5 linked regions of the Macaca mulatta genome follow. The protein of the gene in region 4 binds, or shares a complex with, the protein of the main gene of each other region. Links are inferred from orthologs where the notes say so. Each region holds a gene or a part of one and is shown on either strand. Other genes may lie near its edges. The genes, in order: STRIP1, STK26, STK24, STRN4 and STK25.

Region 1 (2,750 bases), on a different chromosome or scaffold from region 4:
TTTCCTTTACAAGTCAAGACCCTTCAAGACTTAAGAACCTATAAAACAACTGCGTACAGGTAAAATAAGAGCTTCCAGGAATTCTAAAAAGGGAACACTCCTTTTACCAGCATCAAAACGGTAATATCTTCTCAGGCAGACGCAACCAGGGGTCTGGAGGCCAGAGTGTAGGCGCCAGGTGTCCACTGACACCCACTTCAAAGATTTTCCTTGCTTTTTTCTCAGCCACAGGGGGCTCCTAGCTCCTGGCAACATTGTTTCCCACCATGAACCTGACTCCTGATAGTCTGCTTCCTACGCTCTGAGTACTGAAGTTTCCGCTCAGTCCCAACCACCTGCCCCAGGGAGGACCTAGAGCAGCTGACCCCCTTGCTTTGACCTAGCCCCTCCCTCTCTAGCACTGACACTGGTTTGGCTGAGGCCAGCTCAGTGATGTGATCCAGAGAAACCTGGGGCTCCTACTGAAATTACAGCAAACCCAGGGGTGCAGGACAATGTCTCAGTAAAGTAACCTTGATAGTGCCCTGGAGTTGGGTGAGAGTAATCCCAGATTACTGTGGGGTTAATTTACACTGGATAAATGCCAACTCCCTCTTCTCTTCCCCCAGGATGGGAAAGGCAGGCAGCTTGGCAAGACAAGCAGTGACCAGCAATGCTAGCAGAAAAAAACACTTTCTAGACCTGGAGGAGACATGTAGAGGCCATATTTCCCGTAGACAAGCCAACGGGAATGATTTTTGCTTATTTTTAATGTAAACAGAATACACAAACACATTAAAAACCCCAACATGACACAGGAGAATACACACAGAATTATATATAGGTATTTACAGGCCCTCCAAAGCCAAAAGGAAAAATGGCCCCTCTGGTTAAGGGAAGCTTCTCTTCCTACCTTGTCCCTGTCCAAAATCAAAGTGTGGAGGCAGCTGCAGGAGCCTCTGCAATTACTTCTGCATATAACATAGCAGGAGGCTGGAATAACAACAGAAACCCCCCACCCCCACCCCAGAGCACAACCAAGACACCGTTGTATTTTTTTTTGGCCCTGGCCCTAATCCTAAACTCTCCTCCTTTGCAAGCTGACAAAGCAAGGATTTGTGTGTCTCAGGAGGCATCAGCATGACCCCTGAAATTTAGATGTGCTGTGGAGGGGTTCCCATCCCATTCCAGCTTTCCCAGCCTTGGGCTGATTGTGAAATGAGCCAAAACCAACCATGTCCAAGAGAGGAGGGTGAGAGAAATAAAGGAAGAATGGATCCCAGGCAGAGATGACTGCTTCTGAGCTGGACCCTGGGAACCAATAGGAGGTAAAGCTGGGCTCATCCAAACCCAGGACAGACTGCAGAAGACACAGTGGGGCTGTGCTGCCACCTGGTGGGGAATGGGAGCGCTGCAGCCATGAACTAGGACAGTCCTGCAGGTACCTTGAGATCCTCCTTTCTCTGTTTCAGTCCCCTAACCAACAGCCTTACTGCAGCAGCTCTTCCCAGGAAATGGGCTTGGAGAAGACCTCCCTTTCTAACCAGAGGTCATAGTTCATCTGAAAGTCCTCAGGGAGGTCCACCCGTTGGCCCAGGACACTCTGCAGGCAGTTGTCCACTGGCAGGAAGTCGGGGTTGCTGTGGGCCCGGTCATAGCGCCGGGCGTTGAAGCGTTCAATGTTGGCACGGAGGGCACACTCCTCTGCCTGGAAGTCCCAAGGCCGGGCATCAAGATCTGAGACAAAGCAGGAAGAACACAGTTAGGAGCCACGCCCTGTAGCAGCTCCCCATGGACTCACTGCAGCTCAGGGGCCTGGCCAGGAATATTGAGTGTCAACTAGGAGCAGGATACCTCCGAGCTCTAGGAATTCCTTCCTAGATCCAAAGGAGAGTCAAGTACAAGCAGAAAAGACAGAAGTACCGACAAAGAGGCTTATACTGTAGAGATTATGTAGACCCAGAGAGGGAGAGCCATGTGTACAACACATTTCTCTCAAAGTGGCAACCTCCCTAGCTCTCTGGGGTCAGAGGGAGGAACCTGGAAATCCTCTCATTTGCTCATTCTCTCTCAACTCCCTGACCAGGTACCGTGTGCCACCGTGGGCCTGCACACATTCACAAGGCACTGAGAGTACAGACACAGTCATTTAGCCATGGTGGTATACTCCAGAAACGCAACAATGTGGCAACACACCCACACAGAGCAGCCCAGGCAGGCAGGGGAGACCCTGCGGGTGGAGGAAGAGCGTCTGCAGAGGCCTAGCAGTGGTAACCACACAGCTATGTTAGGGCACTAAGCACTCCTTGTGCCTGGAGCTCTGGGTATGATGGAGGCTGGACTGACAGCAGGTAACGAGGTTGAAAAGGAAGCTGGGTCAGATTACAGAGGAGGATAATGAAAAAGGACGAGGGAGCCTCATGCTTGAGTCTGAATCTAATTCTAAGGGAAACAGGAAGCTAATGAAGGATTTTACTCAGGGAGGTAACAGCACAGAAGCTGCATGTTGAAAAGATTCACTAGGGTGCCGGGCGCAGTGGCTCATGCCTGTAATCCCAACACTTTGGGAGGCCAAGGCAGGTGGATCCCTTGAACCCAGGAGTTCAAGAACCACCTGAGAAGGATAGGCACAGTGGCTCACGCCTGTGATCCCAGCACTTTGGGAGGCCGAGGCGGGTGGATCACTTGAGGCCAGGAACTCGAGACCAGCCTGGCTAACATGGTGAAACCCCATCTCTACAAAAAATACAAAAATTAGCTGGACATGGTGG
Region 2 (4,098 bases), on a different chromosome or scaffold from region 4:
TTTTTTTTCCAGCTATTTATTGTTCACATTTCAACAGACACAAATCCTGACTTCTAACTATGGAACCCAAGAACCACTGGGTTTTACCAACCAGTTTTCTGCTATGTAGTAACATCTCCATCTGCTGGAACTTTAGGTATCTGCTAATCCCATGATCCTGGAACCAGTAAAAATCCAACTTTTATTTGGAGGCAGAGGCAGATGTTATTCCACTTAATTCCATTTTAACAAATATTTATCACGTGCTTAAGATGTGCCATACCCTGTGCCAAGGGATGTAAGTACCAGAACTGATTAAGCTAAACTACCTGCTATGAAGGAGTTCACAACCTGGTGGGGGAGACAAATGTGTAAATAACTACCACAACTCAATGAAATAAATGACATACTTACATGTTCCATCAATTCTGAGGTTGAGACAGTCAAGACCATTGAGAATAGTGTCTGGAAATGCAGGGGGATAGCTCTTTCCTGACAAAGGATATGTCTCCAGGACCAGCTGCATTTCTGCTCCTCCGTCAAACCAAAAGTTCAGGTGTAGAAAAGGGGTGCAGCTGAGTACTGGGATGCATTCAGGATACAGCTGCTAAATCTAACAACGGTTTATTTGGCACTATAAATGGAGCTGGATTCTGCCTGGAGGCCATAGACTGCCAAATCCTAATTTAAGACATTGCCTTTCAAAAAAATAGAATTAAAAAACTTCTAATGAAAATACCTTATGACTTAAATAATACAGCACACACATTACCTTTAAATATGACCCATAGTATTTTGTCACATATGAGCTGTCACATTGACTCAAGACAGTTATTTCTTGCTGAATGTCTTCTATTTCATCTTCGGCTTCCTCAAGGTCTATGATTTTAATAGCAACGACTTGCTGGGTACGGTTATCAATTCCTTTGAAAACTTCCCCAAATGAGCCTTTCCCAATGCGCTCTAATTTTGTGAACAGCTCTTCTGGATCAGCTATGTTATTCTAAAGGGAGTGGGGAGAGAGAAAAAGAAAGAACACAAACGTTTTGAATCAGATTTTTTTAATGAAGGAAACTAAATCACATAAGACAATAACAAATTTTTGTAAAAGCATACAAACTTCTTTGACTCCCCATATGTGCTTTGTTAGAACAACTGTAATCCCAAACAGGCAGCTAGTCCATATTCTAGTGAAACACACACACTAACTGAGCTTAGCTGATCCTGCTACCACAAACATTCTCACACAGCAAATACAATCGGTGCATGCCAAAACATCAGGCACTTTTTGGAATAAAGCTGCTGATTATACACAGTTTACACATTAATGCAAATGTAGCAATAGTGGGAGAATATCTAACCTAAGCTAAGGTGAACTGTTTTAAGTTTCTAACATTCTGCCAATATTACCTTTTAACTCTCCTCTCTCTCCAACTCGCATATCCCAATCATCTTAGCTCTACTTCCAAACCGCCATCTAAATAATACAGACCGCAAAAGACTCCAGGCTTTACAGGTCTTTATTTTTCTTTAGTTGGAATCTTATCTATGTGAAATGTTATCATCAATAGTTGAACTAAGATTCTATACCTTTGTACTAATTGCTAGTAATCATGAGAAAATGGTAATACATTGAACTTTCACAACTCATCTCACAGTGAAGATCCAGAATAATTTAACACTTCAATAAAATCTGGAATAAGCGTAGGCTTTTAAGGTTAACAAATGTATAGGCATGACTTAGATTTATAAATTCACTGTTGTTTCCTGATTCAGAAATATTCTGTATCTTATAATATACAATTTTGAATTAAAATTTTACCCCAAGACAAACTTTATATACTTATACTTACTTAAACTCATATTGCTGGAAATATACTGCTGATCAAGTAGAAACTCAAGATGGCCAACCCTGCCAAAAGCACATTAAGTGCTTTATTAATCAAAAACTTTTGAGTTTCTTCAAAATATAGGAGGATTCTATCAAGTTCTGGTGAGCTATCTGTGTCTAATTTGTCAACTGTACATAGAATATCTGTTCATTTACTACAATTTTACCTAGTTTCATTTCATCGTCAATTTCAGAAGACTATTATGGAGTCAGCGTGTCCCTTTTATCTTCCTTATTAGACAAAGGGGCCACTGAAAATATTGTTTTTCTCTTATCAAGTTCTTTGCACCATGATCACCAAATGGACACACTACTACTCCAGTAAACCACTACCTTTTGAGGTAACTCCAAGACCCATGACTGCTTTTAAAGAATTTCACCAAGTTCTCTTTTTACACAGCCTAAAATACAGTTTGTACATGACCTGTTTACCTTATAAGCTTCCCCATTCTTTCTGATTGGATGTTTTTCCATTTCTAAAAGTTGTACTTTCCATATAGAAGTCTCTGAAACTGCAAGCTACTTGTGTATCCCCACCCACCTCCAGTACCCACATGGAACAAACACATCTTGAGCTTTCCATACGGGCTTTTAAAAATAGTTTAGGCTTCCAGTAGGTTGCAAATGCATTTTTAATGCTCATATTTTGTTATAATACCTTCTCAAAAACTTGAGTGCCATCATTATTGATTTCCTTGGTGTCCTCTTTTACCAAGACCTTGTATTTCATTGTGACTACTAATACATAGTGGCTAACCCACAGTTACCTCTTCCTACTTTTGGTGATGGTTCTTGGTTTTGTAATACCTTGTGGAAAAAATACTTACTACATAGTTTGGTGATGGGTTCACTCCTTATAAATTCCTTTGGAAAAAAAGTATTTCCGTTTTCCTGACACAGTTATAAAACAATTCTAAAATTTGGAAATGTATCATTTATTTGAAGACACATAGGATATATCTTCTGATAAGACACTCTGGGAAGTGTATGTATTCATTAACTTTAAACAAGAATCTTCTGTTGTTAAGGAACAAAAATGAAATCTTCATCTTCCTAATTAGTGTTTTAAAAGGATTTGATTGAAACAGTCAACTTGAGGGAGGATACGGCTGTTCCTTGCTTCCTACAATAAATGGGTTCTTGCAAATATGTAAATCAAAAAATTTAAAACCAGATCACATTTTGCATTTTAAAGAAGCACTGAAGTAAACCCTAATCCATGGATATAGTTTAAGATTTTAAATTGAGGAATAGCAAGTTAGACACAGAAAAAAAGAAAGATCCATCATTTACACAATGTTTGCACTTCCTACTCTTTTATTTTGGGTCTAACACTGCTCCTACAAAACACCAACTTTCAGAGTGGAGGGAATCATGAAAACAAGATTTCACTAATATAACCTCACTTCCCTAGCTAGCTAAGGGATAGAGACCCCTGCCACATTTACTAATCGTGAATCCCTGATAGATAATACAAAAGTTATAATTCCCCCTTCATCATTTTAAACTAAAGTATCCTAAGTCTTTGTTAAGACAGGTTTCCTTCCTGTTTTTAGCACAAGGGCAAAGATCAAGTAAATAAATAGCAAACATCCCAAGGAATGCAATTAAAAGCCACTTAAATAAAGAATCTAGTTTGCCTAATCATTCCCATCATTCTTTGGAACCTCTGAGAAAAGTCAGCTCCCAAATCAAATATTCGTTTAAGATTACTGAAATTCCAACCCAAATGCCCATCAATGACAGACTGGATAAAGAAAACGTGGCACATATACACCATGGAATACTATGCAGCTATAAAAAAGGATGAGTTCATGTCCTTTTCAGGGACATGGATGAAACTGGAAACCATCATTCTCAGCAAAGTAACACAAGAAGAGAAAACCAAATACTGCATGTTCTCACTCATAAGTGGGAGTTGAACAATGAGAACACATGGAAACAGGGAGGGGAACATCACACATCAGGGCCTGTCAGGGGGTAGGGGCTTGGGGAGGGATAGCATTAGCAGAAATACCTAATATAAATAACGAGTTGATGGGTGCAGCAAACCAACAGGCACATGTATACCTATGTAACAAACCTGCACGTTCTGCACATGTACCCCAGAACTTAAATATAATAATAAAAAACACTGAAATTTCTAAATATTCCTTACCTCTACTGCAAAAATCACAATGTATTACTCTATCTGCGTTTGTATTGCCTTCTCAAAGCTGCCCCCAAAA
Region 3 (4,573 bases), on a different chromosome or scaffold from region 4:
TCCAATAACAAATCTGCCATATAATATACGATCTCACCTTGGTCAGTTAAGCGTCCCTTGGTCTCTACATCTACAAAATGGTATAATACCTACATCTCAAACGGTACCAGTAAGAATCAAGAGGCATAAAAATGATTTGCAAAACACGGAAGAATGGTGTTTATACTAACATGGTTGTTATTTTTCAAGCATCCTTGCCTAGGCCACCTAAATTCACTCTGCCTTTTTTTTTTTTTTTTTTTTTGAGATGGTGTCTGGCTCTGTCGCCCAGGCTGAGGTTCAATGGCATGATCTCAGCTCAATGCAACCTCCGGGTTCAAGCGATTCTCCTGCTTCAGCCTCCTGAGCAGCTGGGACTACAGGCCTGTGCCACCACGCCCAGCTAATTTTTTTGATTTTTAGTAGAAACAGGGTTTCACCTTGTTAGCAAGGATGGTCTCAATCTCCTGACCTCATGATCCGCCCGCTCCGGCCTCTCAAAGTGCTGGATTACAGACTCTGCTGTCTTTCTAAGCCAACTCCTTATAAGCCCTGGTCAGGAGACAAGAAAAAGGGGGGGCTATGAGGCCTATCAGGGCAAGCCATAGAAGATATGGACTTCTCTCCTCCCATTTAGCAGACAACAGTTGAAAGCGGGTGTGCTTTTAATTGAATCTTCAGCAACAACTCTTAGGGAAGCCTCCCAGGGCAGCAGCAACTGCTAATTTGAAGTAGAAAATAAATGTGCTTGTTGTTTTTCTTTTGGGGGATGGGGAAGGAGAAAAGAATGTTCTTCCCCAAATGATACACTTTGTTACCATACAGTCTGTAGATGTACTTAGGTACAGGAATGACTGGCAGAAGCCAACTTTCCTACCTCTAAAACTGTAAAACTGTTAACAGCTGAAAATCTGATCATCTTTTCTCCTGAGAAACACTTACCATCTTTCATACTGAGAAAACAAAAACAGTTCCCATGTAACACAATCTAACAGATACGTAACAGTTGAGAGGCAAAGTTATTAAGGAAATGTATCCTCTTTTCCCAAGATTTAAGAACTCTGATCCACTCAAAAAAAAAAAAAAAGGACAAAAATGAAAAGGTGAGATACTAGGTATCACCTGGTAACCATCTGATACTGACTTCACAGCACCAGCCAAAGGGGCTTTAGTACCTTTTCAAACTGATTGGCTATCCACAAAGGCCAATTAACCTAGTAAGTGAGGCATTTGTGCTAGACTCCAACCTGATGCACACGGTATAAATGTCAACCTAAAGGAAATATTGATAAAAGTTTTTTTAAAAATCATTACAAGAGTCCTTCTTGCTCGACTGGTAAGAAATTCGTTTTTTCACCCAGTTCACTCTGACCTACACACCTCTAAATTCATACCAAAGCGGCTTTAGGAAATACCAAGAAACCACATCTGATTGTTACCCAGCAGTCAGCAGAAGTTTAGGTTTTGAATGCATGCTAAATTCAACGCTCCTTAAACGAGAGTCGACAAAAGAATATTCTTCAAGCATCTTCCCAGTCACTCTTAAGATACTGTTACTGCTTAAATATATATATTTATTTACTGCTTAAACATTTATATACACACATATATATACTGCTTATAATACACAGTTGGAGTAAAATTCTAGCTGCCATTAAAGCGGTAACTTTGAGTTCTTATATTTCCAGAATTCAAACGTGAACAGTGAAATCCAGTTTTCTTTTTATGGTTTCAAAAAAAGAAGGGAGAGGGATGATCTCACTGGAAAACGCGGGCAGACTCCAGAGGCAGTCCCAGGTCTGGGCACTGTGCTTCTCAGCCCTCAACACACAGGGAATGAGCCTGTTGGTATCTATAAGTCAACCGGTAATCTACTTGGATGCTTCTGGTTTTCTTCGAACACTTAACGTTCACTCAGCTAGACTGGGAGAGCAAACTTTCCTGACATATCCTAATTGTATCCTAAGATTTCAATCCTAAGCATTTTGCCACCATTTCTGCGCCTACAAACTTTACAAGAGTTAGCCAAGGACGGTGGTTTTGTTTTTCAAAGGGCTAAAAGCAGTCCCCAATGGCAACAAAAACAACAAAAAACCTTTAACTTATACATGTAAATTTGAAATTCAACTCCTCCCCCATCCCTCAAAAAGTCGCTGGTAGGCCAAGATGTCACCAAGTACCGAAGGAGAGGTTTACTGGGCGAAGAACTCCTGTAAATGCAACCAAGTCTCAAAGTGAAAGGCCCGGGACCCTGGTGTGCGGCTGTGCGAGGGATTCCTCCTTCCAAAAGGTCTGCAGCTCGCACTTCCCCCCAGTCCGCAGGTGCAAGGCCACTCCAAGTGGAACTCGCGGTTACACCTTCCTCCACTCCGCCCTGCCTACTCCGCTCGGGCCCGGACGAGTCCAGGCGCGCTCCCCGTCCCCGCCCTGCCCAGGTCTCCCGCCCGCCCGCCCGGGGGTGGGGGACGAGCCTGGGGGGGCGCGTCCTGGGGGCCGCCGCCAACCCGGCCCGCACGCAGGGCCCAGGGACCCGGCGGGGGCCTCCAAGGGCATCCCTCCACCTCACTTCTCCCGGGGAGGAGGCCACCCAGGGCCTGCAGCTCCGGAGGAGTGTTGGGGCGAGGGGAGCGCGTAGGACGAGGCGCCCGCACCCCCACATCCGGACCCAGGCCGCGGTCCCTACGGCTCCTGCAAGCACACGCCGGAGACCTCGGCCGCCAGAGCCGGCAGGGACATCAGGGGCTCCGACTCGGACCCCCGGCCGAGCTGGGCGCGCGGGGAGCCAGGCTCTGGCGCGACCCCGGCCAGCTGGGCGTAGGGGGGCGCCGTGTGGACACCGCCAAGTTGCCGCTTCCGCCCCGGTCGCGCATCCCGGCCCCGCGGCCCGCGCCCGCCTACCTGCATGCCGGGCAGGCCCGACTGCACCGGGGAGTGAGCCATGGCGCTCAGGACGGCTACTTCCTGGCACGGGACGGCCGGGCCGCGGCGATCCGCGCGGGGCGGCGAGGCCCGCGGGCCGCGCGCAACCCTCGGGCGGCGGGGCGGCCGGAGCCCGAGGCCACCCCAGCCCCGGCGGGTCCCGGCCGGGCGGCGGGGGCTCAGCTGCGGGTGGCGGGCCGCGTCTCCATGCACGGCGCGGGGGAGGAGCTGCTGGGGGCGCGGGGCCTCGCGCGAACTGCCGCCGCCGCCGCTGCTGCTGGGCTGGAGCCGGGCGGCCTGGGCCCGCGCGCGCTGGCCGCTGGAGCGGGAGTGGGCGCGCACAGCCCGCCGAGCCCGCGAGCGCCAAGCGCGTCCCGTCCCGGCCCGGCCCCCGCGCCCGCCCCCGCGGCCCGGCCGGGGACCCCGCCCCGCGCTTCCGGGAGGGGGAGGGGAGAGGCCGGTGGCCGCGCGCGAGCCCTAGGCCGCAGCCGCCGCCGCCGCCTGCCGGCCCGGCCCGGGTCCCAGCTGCTCCCGCGGCGCTCCCACGCCCCCGCGGGCGGGCGGGCGGCTGGGCCGGGAGGGGGCCTCGGCTGGGGCGGGCGCTGGGAGGGACCGAGTCGGGGCCGGAGGCTGGCCGTGCGCCCACCGGGCCGGCGCCGGGGAGAGCTGGGCCGTGGCCCCCTCTTCACGCCAGCCAGCCCACTCCGCCCCGGCGATCCATGGGGAAACGGGCTCCGGGCGAGCCCCAGAGGGCAGGGTCAGGGTCCAGGGGCACCTGGGGAGGGAGAGCGCCCCGCGGGGCCTCGGCCGGTGGCCTGTGCCAAAAGGCCGGGCAGAGCTGCTTCGGTGTCTGGGTGAAGTTTCCAGCCAACCCAAGAAGGAAACCGAAAGGGGAGAGGCCGAGAGAGAGGTTGATTCCTAGCGCTTTGGTTACCGAAAACAGCCCCGCTGGGGCTGCTGGGCTGGGAACTTAGCTAAGCAGTGAGGAGGCTGAACCCCACCATCTCTGGAGTCCGCAGCAAGTCAGGAGCACCCACCCACGAAAAGGGGAAAATGGAGTGCAGAGGGCAGGGAGGAAGGGAAGAGAATGGAAGGAAAGCGCATCTGGACTTTGAACTGCAGCCCTCTCCGTCTCTTTCCTTTTCCTGGGAAGCTCCAGGCCCACTCAGCACCAGTTCTGTCTCCTCTTTTCAGCTGCCTTCTCTCTAGCTACTGAGGGGAAAAGTCAGGATGGAGCGGGTCCCTCGGCCTCCAGGAAGTGTTTTATTACAGTCGCAAACAGTAGAGCGGCAGCCACCCCAGTGATGACTCCCTGCCCCTTAGATTATAGGGACGCTGGTACCTCATTCATGCTCCTAAGTGGCCATTTTGCACCCTGGCTGGGCGAGTTAGGCAGACAAAATGAGCCCCCAAAAGTTTAAAGGCCTCCACCAAAGTAAGGAGTATTTCTTTTCCGAGGTGTCATTGTATTCCATCCACGAACATCAGTTTCGCAGGATGCCCTGGATCTGACACAGGGTAGGATGCTAACATCTAATCCCTTCTTTCCCTTTGGAAAGATGAATGTTTTTCTCGGAGTCCTAGGGAATACCTTAGAATACCTCATGGTTGTCTCTGGTACACCCATCCCTTGAGGAGCCCTGCCACCCCTAAGTAGGACTGCAAGGAAATACAA
Region 4 (4,098 bases):
AGGCATGCACCACCACGCCCAGCTAATTTTGTATTTTTGGAAGAGACGGAGTTTCTCCATGTTGGTCAGGCTGGTCTTGAACTCCCGACCTCAGGTGATCCACCTGCCTTGGCCTCCCAAAGTGCTGGGATTACAGGCATGAGCCACCACGCTGGCCTGATTAGTCTTTAAAAATCTAATTAACAAATAAAAAAATAATTTAATATTACCCTTGGGGAATAAAAAGCCACACTTCATAAATCTTCACAAGGTATTGAAAAAAAAAAAACAAAGCCACAGGGCTCCTATGGCCACCGAGATAAAAAAAAAAAAAAAAGGCCACAAAGGGCTCCTATGGCCACTGAGATTAAAAAAATAAAATAAAAAAGCCATAGAGGCATTCAGGGACACATTCCAATGGGGGCGTTCCCATGTCTGCCTCCTGCAGTGCGTTTCCCTCCCTCTCCCCAGGCCAGGCTCCACCCACAGGGTGAAGGCCACTCCAGCCATGGCGGGCTAAGATACTGATAGTTCAGCGTCCCCACTGGGTACACAAAAGGACTGTGGAGCCTTTGGACTTCTCTCTCAAGCCAAATGTGCCATGTGTCCCCAGCCCCACTCCCCAAGCACACTCACTGTCGGAGAAGCTGCCGCCCCTCCTTCCACACCAGCGGGCTGTTCTCCAGGGTGACCGATTCCACGGGGCCATTGGAGACTGGCGGGTGAGAGAACGGAGGCTGTCTTAGTCGGGCCACTGCCACCTACCCATCATCTCCTCCATCCTCCTCACCCCTCCAACCCAAATCGGTCACTGTCACGGGTCCTGTGGCGTCACTTCCTGAGTGTTGGAACCCTGCTCTCTTCCCCCACGTGGGGATGCCTCCTCCTTGAAGCGGTCCTCATCTCTAGGTCTCCTGACTGGTGGTTCCCCAAACTGGCCCCCGACAAGAAAAGGGCTTTTTCTCAAAACTCTGGGCGAGTTGTCATTTTCCTTCACAGAAAGCTGGCCTGGTTCTGAGAGTAGGGCCGACCGGGTTCAAGCCCGGCTCTGCCCCATCCCAGCTGTGTGACCCTGAGTTAGGGTGAGCGGTGTCAGTTTTGTCCTCTGAGAAATGAGCTTAATGATAACAGCATCTCCCTCTTGGGAGTGCTGGGAGGATGCAATGAGGTAATTTGCTTAGTATTTTATTCAAGTCTTTTCTGGGCATCTACTTCGTGCCTGGCTAGGGACCTGGGCTACCCGGGTCAACAAAGACCTGCCCCTGTGGAACTTCCGTTCCAGTGAGAAGAGCTGGCAGCAGGTAACGACCATCACTATCAGCTGAGCATACAAGGTCTTCTCAGCTTGCCTCAGCCAAGCTTCCCCTCACCTGGCCCGCCCTCCCACATCCTCTGCCCTACACCGTTTGCCCAGTCACAGTGACCGACTCCCTATCCTCTAACCCGTTCAGCGTGCGTCTCTGCATCTGTGCTGTCTCCCCTGACTCTCCTGCTGGGGAACAGAGTCATCTTTCAAGGAGCTTAGACTCTAAGGGACCAGAGGGTAGGAACCACATCTCCCGTGCTCTCTGCTGTATTCCTGATCTGTGATACAAAGCCTGTACCCCACAAATAAAGTCTTTTTGGATGAACGACTGAATGGCAACTCTGTTCAAACGCCACCTCCTCAGTGACGTCTTCCCCGGCTTTCCCGCACCGTCCCCGGCAGTCTATAAATAGTCCTGGCGCCCACTCCTCGCAAAGGGATCCCGTGAGCTGCTCATGTGTCTGCCTCTGTTGCACAGGGGGACGGCAAGCAGGACTGGCCCCCAGGGTCCAGCACAGGACCTGGCAGCCCATGGGGAGGACTCTGAGAGTGAGAATCCGCCCCTCCCCAGCCCCGGGGCCGATTCTGCCTTCTAAGGAGCAAAGTGAGAAAGAGGCACCCCATCTTCCTGCTTCTCCAGCACACTCAGCGTCCACGGGAGGGCGCCGACCGCGCGAGCATCAGAGGGTGGGTACCTTGTTCTGACACATCTGCTTTCTTCTCCCCCTGGTTCAGGTCTGTACCAAACTTCAGTTTATGATATTTGGCCCTAAAAGAGCAAATGGTTAATGAATAAGAGATGCGGGAGAGTAGACAGAGTCAGCAGTTACCTGAGGAATCTGGAATCCCAAACCCCAAATCACAGGGCCTCCCACAACCGGTCTCCTACCACTGAGGCTGAAGCATCCCCCACACCCCTGGCCTGGTGGAAGAGATCACTCCCTAGAGTCAGGCAACCTGAGACCCCTAGTCTCAGGGGTCCTTGAAGAAACCATCAGCCCTTGAAACCCCAGTTCCTCGTCTGAAACAGGGCTAACAATACCCGTTAGGCTACGGGAAGGGGTAAGGGATAACCGAGGTAAGGACTATACAATATTTGGCGCACAGTGGGCCACCAGCATCGTGAATACTGTTTCTGGTAGACGTCTAGCCGGAATCCCACCTACCCTGTCTTGTTTCTCCCCTAGAACCTTATGGTACTGGAACGATGGAAAAGAATGTCGACCCCAAATCTCCCTCAGCTGGAAGGAGGCGTGGCTGGTGGCCTCCTGACGCTGTGCTTGAGATGGACCCAGAAGGCAGGCCCGGGGCAGGACGAAGGCTCACCTTTCCTGCTTCAGTGCGTACTCTAGCATCTTGATCCGCCGCACCAGGTCTGTCTTCAGATTCTCCTGCCCTTTCCTCTCTCCCTGGAGGAAGGCCACCTGAGCCTGGGAGGGCACACAGGAGGCAAATGAAGACAGCGGGGCTCAGGCTCACTGCCGGTGTGTCCGTCACTCATCCAGGCACAGTACCAGCCCACAGCCACCCCACAGTGATGGGTGGCAGCCACTTCCTCAGCACAAAGACCCCGAGCCAGGGTTCAGGAAGCACTGAGAGGACAGGCTGGATCTGTTTCCAGGGCCCCCTGCCACGTCATCCACAACGAGGGCCGAAGGGGAGCCCTTAAACCCTGAGATGACAATGGGGACAGCCTAGGCCTCACTTGCTGGCTGCTTTTGGAGGGAAGTCGGGTCAGGGATGGCAGTGGAGAGGAGGGTGGGCATTCACTGCCCTGGACTCCCCCCAACACCCTCTGGCAGGTGCTGTCCCTAAGGCTACTGGTGGAGGTGGTGTCCCACTATTCTTACCAGAGCATCTGTCTCTGGGAGGCGTGGGAAGCTACTTCTGGAGCTTTGGGACAAGAGTGGGTGGCTTGGCTCGGCTCCCGCTCCAATACAAAAGCTTTACAAGCCAAGCCCACTGTGGGACCAGCCGTCCCACTGCACTCTGCCCAGGGTGTGAGAGAAATGTGCCACAGACACGACTCCGGGTTCCTGCCAAGCACTTCACACCGTCTGCTGGCTTGAGTTGCCCTGTCTGCTCCAGTCTGTCAACAAGTCATTTAGAGACACTGGGCCCACTGCCTTCCAGGCAGGATCCTGGCCTCTGACCATGGTCCAGAAGCCCTTGTGCCAAAGCCCTGGCCCAGGGCTCATCTCTGGCTTCTCCCTAAGCACCCCACCATTCCAGCCCAGAACAGCCAGAGCTCCAGGCCCAACTTAGACACTTACTCGCTACATGATCTTAGGCAGGTCATTGGCCTTCTCTGAGCCTCCATTTGCGCCTCCAGAAAATGAGACTCGTAAGAGTGCCCTCCCCTCATGTGCTAGCTTCTGCTCAGTCCAAGGCCTGGCACAGAATAAAGGCTAACAAATGCCAGCTTCTACTTCTCTTATCACTTTTACTCTCCATGTACATTTTCTGCAAATCCAAAATGGGCCCAGTTCCTTACAGGAGGCAGGATCCCTTGGAGACCCCAGATCAAGTAGAAATGTCTGTGGATTGGCCAGGCACAGTGGCTCACACCTATAATCCCAGCCCTTTGGGAGGTTGAGGTGGGCAGATGACTTGAGGTCAGGAGTTCGAGACCAGCCTGGGCAACATGGTGAAACCCCATCTCTACTAAAAATACAAAAAACTTAGCCAGGTGTGGTGGTACACACCTGAAGTCCCAGCTACTTGGGAGGCTGAGGCAGGAGACTCGCTTGAACCTGGGAGGTGGAGGTTGCAGTGAGCCAAGATCGTGCTACTGCACTCCAGCCTGGGTGACA
Region 5 (3,365 bases), on a different chromosome or scaffold from region 4:
AAACTCCCAAAGCACGACCAGGCCCAGATCTGACCTCCATCAAGACACCAGCTCCGAGCCTCTGTCACCGGGTGTCACCCACCCTCGGGGGCTGTGGCTAGGTCAGCAGGCTGCCCGGGACCTGGGCCTGAGTGGCTGCTTCACTGGGGCCTCCACATGGGCTGGGGCCAGTGTCCCTCGACTGCTCCACCCTCTGCCATCCTCAGGCAGGCTCTCCTGTCACCACCTCTCACCCACATCCTCCATCCTCCCCAGGCTCCAGGAGGGGCTCCTGGAGAGCACACCTGGGCCCAAGCCCACTGGCCACGCCCTGGGCACAGAGCTCCTGGCTGCATCACATCTCTGAGAATGGTGCCGACTGCCCATTAGCAGGTGACGCTGATGCAAGGTCATGTGACTAACCAGGGAGGCACCTGCCCTGGATGGACCCCGACTACATCTTCTCTGCTTTCTCTATAGAAGGGTCATCTGTGTTTGCACTTGAAGAAAACAAAAGTCGCTCTGGGAACCCAGAGGACCTTGGCAGGTCTGGGAGTACAAAAGGTCATCACAGCAGATTCTGCTCCTTCTACTCAGGAAACCCAGCCCATAATCAGCTGCAGGAAACCTAGAAGCTGAGACTGCCCCACGGCACTGTGAGGGGACATCCCCGCGGAGCAGCGTCCCAGCCTCGTCCCTGGCGGGGCTCCAGCCCCAGCCCCAGCCCCAGCCCCCTTCTCACCTCTCCGAAGACAGGCCGGACCAGCGTGGACAGGCACTGGGACCTTGGCTGCCTCTTGACAGGCTCTGCGGGCTGCAAAGGAAGTGGAGGCCCAGGGTGAGCAGGGCAGTGCAGGCGACAGGCAGGGCACTCCCATCCCTTCAGGCTCTAGCCTTGAAGGGATGGAGACTGGGAGCAGCCTGTCATGGCACATGCCCAGGGCTGGCCCCAAAACCATCAAGCCACCCAGATGGCCTGACTCAGGGCTTACAACTCCCACCCACCCTCTCCTCACAAATTTGGCTCCTAACAGGCCCTCATCTTCCCAGCACATGCTGGGGCTTGGGGTCTCCACACCAGGCCCAGTGCCACAGTGGGCTTCAGACCACCCCTGCCTTTCCCAAGCTCCTTGTCCAAGCCCCAGACACTGGGTGGACAAAGCTGGGTCCCGCACCCAGCCCCAGGGGTGCACAGCAGGCAGAGGCCAGGCCGGGAACAGACCTTCTGTGAGCTGTGCAGGGCCGTCCCCTTGTGAAGCTTGCTGTGTGGACTCGGCCGGATGGTGGGGGGGAACGTCCAGATGGGGCCCTGCTCCCCGTCCTCCGCCTCGCCATCACTGAAGAGGATGAAGAGTTGCCAGGGTCAGTGGGGGGAGAGCCAGGAGGCACAAGGGCCTCAGGGCACACCTCACGGCCAAGGGAAACCCGAGGTACTGGGCGGCGCTCTGCCAGGCCACGGAGTCCAACTGATGCCTCAGCAGGCCCTGTCCTGTAGCCTTAAGGGGGTCCCTGCCCAATACTATATCTGGTCACTCTCACCCCTAGAGCCCACGCCCCTGCTTCTGGAGTGGGGACCACCCACGTCACAACACCGAGGGTCACCATGAGGATAAACCAGGCCCCTACATGTCAGAGTCCTCGGAGCTGGACTCCTCGCCATGCCCCTCGGACTTCCAGCGCTTATAGCGGTCGATGAGCTCCGTGAGGAAGGAGGTCTTCTTGGTGTAGCGTGTGATGAACTTGTGCTTCAGGAGCTCCTTGGCTGTGGGCCGCTGTGCGGGGTCAGGGGAACATCGGTCACTGGGCCCAGCCAAGCTCTGCCTCAGGAAAGCAAATGTGAGGCAGCCTGGACTGGGGCAGGTCCTCACGGCTACAAGGCTGGGGGGCCTAGGCCTCCGGGCTGTGCTGCCCACCCCAAGCAAATGCCCTCCCTCCATATGCCCATCCAGAAGGGGCCAGGCCAGAGGCGGGCCTTACGAATCGGGGGTCCTTGTTGAGGCAGGCCTCCACGAACTCCTTGAACGGCTTGCTGTGCTGGCCCTCCAGTGTGGGAGGGCTGTTCTTGGGAATCAGGAACAGGACGCGCATGGGGTGGAGGTCAGAGTTTGGAGGCTCCCCCTTGGCCAGCTCGATGGCCGTGATCCCCAGGGACCAGATGTCGGCCTGGACAGAACACAAGGACTGTCGCTGCCCTGAGCACCCCAGTCAGGCGTGGTGCCCGCACCCGCCCGCCCACCCACTGCACCCACCTTGAAGTCATAGGCCGACTGCTTGATGACTTCAGGCGCCATCCAGAAGGGGGTGCCCACGAACGTGTTCCTCTTAATCTGTGTGTCTGTGAGCTGCCCTGCTACCCCAAAGTCCGCCAGCTTCACATCCCCCTGCTCCGAGAGTAGCACGTTGGCAGCTGCTTGACACAGGACAGGCAGACGTCATGCCAGGCTCCACGTGGCTCCACCCAGGGCCCCCTGAGAAGGGCCAGGGTATCATCCACCTGGCCTCCTAGGGCACAGCAGGGCTGTCCTCAGGACTTCAGCCCTCCTTGCCACTCTCAAACCCAGGGCCACCTAGGGCCACAGGGGCACTGCCAGAAGGAGCCTAAGGTCTCCACTCCGAGCTCCAGGGCTCTCCCTGCATTTGGCTTTTACAACAAATCCCAACGACAGGTGACTTCGCCCACTGGGGGCTACCACAGAGGTGACCCTGATCAAGGGTGTGGCCACCATGGGCCTGCCAGGAAGCCCCTTGCTCCACCAGACTTGTCCCCTACATGAGAGAGATGACTCGGTGCCGGTGGCAAGTCCCTCCCCACAGGCTGGCCCAACCTCATGTCTGCACTTAGCAGGGCCAGACCACACGCTGGGGCTACTCAAGCCTACACCTGCTGTTGTGCTGTGAGCCACCGGGAACCAACAACTCTGGCTAAGCGTGGCTGTTCCTACACTCAGTCCACAGCTGGTTTACTCAGCGTACAAGGAAACTGTTACAAACAGTATCTTCTGGAAATGGAGCAAGACAACTGCTCAGTTTCAGGGTGGCCACAGGGTTCTCTATACCCCAGACGCTGGGCACCACTAGCCACTTGCCCCTCACAGGCCCCAGCCTCTCTAAGGTCAGTGGGGCTCAGGACATTACAAGAGCCACATTCACCCCCAGCAGGACCTTTGATGTCTCGGTGGATCTTGCGTTCGGAGTGCAGATAATCCAGGCCCTTCAGAATTTCCCGCAGGATCGTGGCAATGTACGTCTCCTCCAGGGGACCTGGTTTAAGCTGGAGAGGAAGGTGGGACAGCAGGGCCTCAGCTCCTGTCCCAGGCCCAATGCCTGAGTTCTCCTGTCTCTCTGACAGGGGAGGGCTGTCCCTGCAGATAGCTGGGGGCTTCATG

Evidence for each region.
Region 1: STRN4 (region 4) and STRIP1 share a complex: the UniProt entries of both Homo sapiens proteins name them as parts of the core of STRIPAK complex. The link is inferred for Macaca mulatta from reciprocal best matches to the Homo sapiens genes STRN4 and STRIP1.
Region 2: STRN4 (region 4) and STK26 share a complex: the UniProt entries of both Homo sapiens proteins name them as parts of the core of STRIPAK complex. The link is inferred for Macaca mulatta from reciprocal best matches to the Homo sapiens genes STRN4 and STK26.
Region 3: STRN4 (region 4) and STK24 share a complex: the UniProt entries of both Homo sapiens proteins name them as parts of the core of STRIPAK complex. The link is inferred for Macaca mulatta from reciprocal best matches to the Homo sapiens genes STRN4 and STK24.
Region 5: STRN4 (region 4) and STK25 share a complex: the UniProt entries of both Homo sapiens proteins name them as parts of the core of STRIPAK complex. The link is inferred for Macaca mulatta from reciprocal best matches to the Homo sapiens genes STRN4 and STK25.

The regions. Positions count from the first base shown.
Region 1 is NC_133406.1:130,141,247-130,143,996, forward strand, and holds the end of STRIP1 (striatin-interacting protein 1), read right to left. Parts: intron 1,717-2,750; coding exon 1,469-1,716; 3' UTR 732-1,468; downstream 1-731. UniProt on the Homo sapiens protein: Plays a role in the regulation of cell morphology and cytoskeletal organization. Required in the cortical actin filament dynamics and cell shape. Part of the striatin-interacting phosphatase and kinase (STRIPAK) complexes.
Region 2 is NC_133426.1:138,520,678-138,524,775, reverse strand, and holds part of STK26 (serine/threonine-protein kinase 26), read right to left. Parts: intron 983-4,098; coding exon 752-982; intron 1-751. UniProt on the Homo sapiens protein: Serine/threonine-protein kinase that acts as a mediator of cell growth. Modulates apoptosis. In association with STK24 negatively regulates Golgi reorientation in polarized cell migration upon RHO activation.
Region 3 is NC_133422.1:93,279,941-93,284,513, forward strand, and holds the start of STK24 (serine/threonine-protein kinase 24), read right to left. Parts: upstream 2,946-4,573; 5' UTR 2,920-2,945; coding exon 2,878-2,919; intron 1-2,877. UniProt on the Homo sapiens protein: Serine/threonine-protein kinase that acts on both serine and threonine residues and promotes apoptosis in response to stress stimuli and caspase activation.
Region 4 is NC_133424.1:59,216,050-59,220,147, forward strand, and holds part of STRN4 (striatin-4), read right to left. Parts: intron 2,716-4,098; coding exon 2,612-2,715; intron 2,055-2,611; coding exon 1,981-2,054; intron 695-1,980; coding exon 616-694; intron 1-615. UniProt on the Homo sapiens protein: Calmodulin-binding scaffolding protein which is the center of the striatin-interacting phosphatase and kinase (STRIPAK) complexes.
Region 5 is NC_133417.1:146,790,495-146,793,859, forward strand, and holds part of STK25 (serine/threonine-protein kinase 25), read right to left. Parts: intron 3,251-3,365; coding exon 3,142-3,250; intron 2,387-3,141; coding exon 2,229-2,386; intron 2,161-2,228; coding exon 1,957-2,160; intron 1,752-1,956; coding exon 1,606-1,751; intron 1,317-1,605; coding exon 1,202-1,316; intron 794-1,201; coding exon 722-793; intron 1-721. UniProt on the Homo sapiens protein: Oxidant stress-activated serine/threonine kinase that may play a role in the response to environmental stress.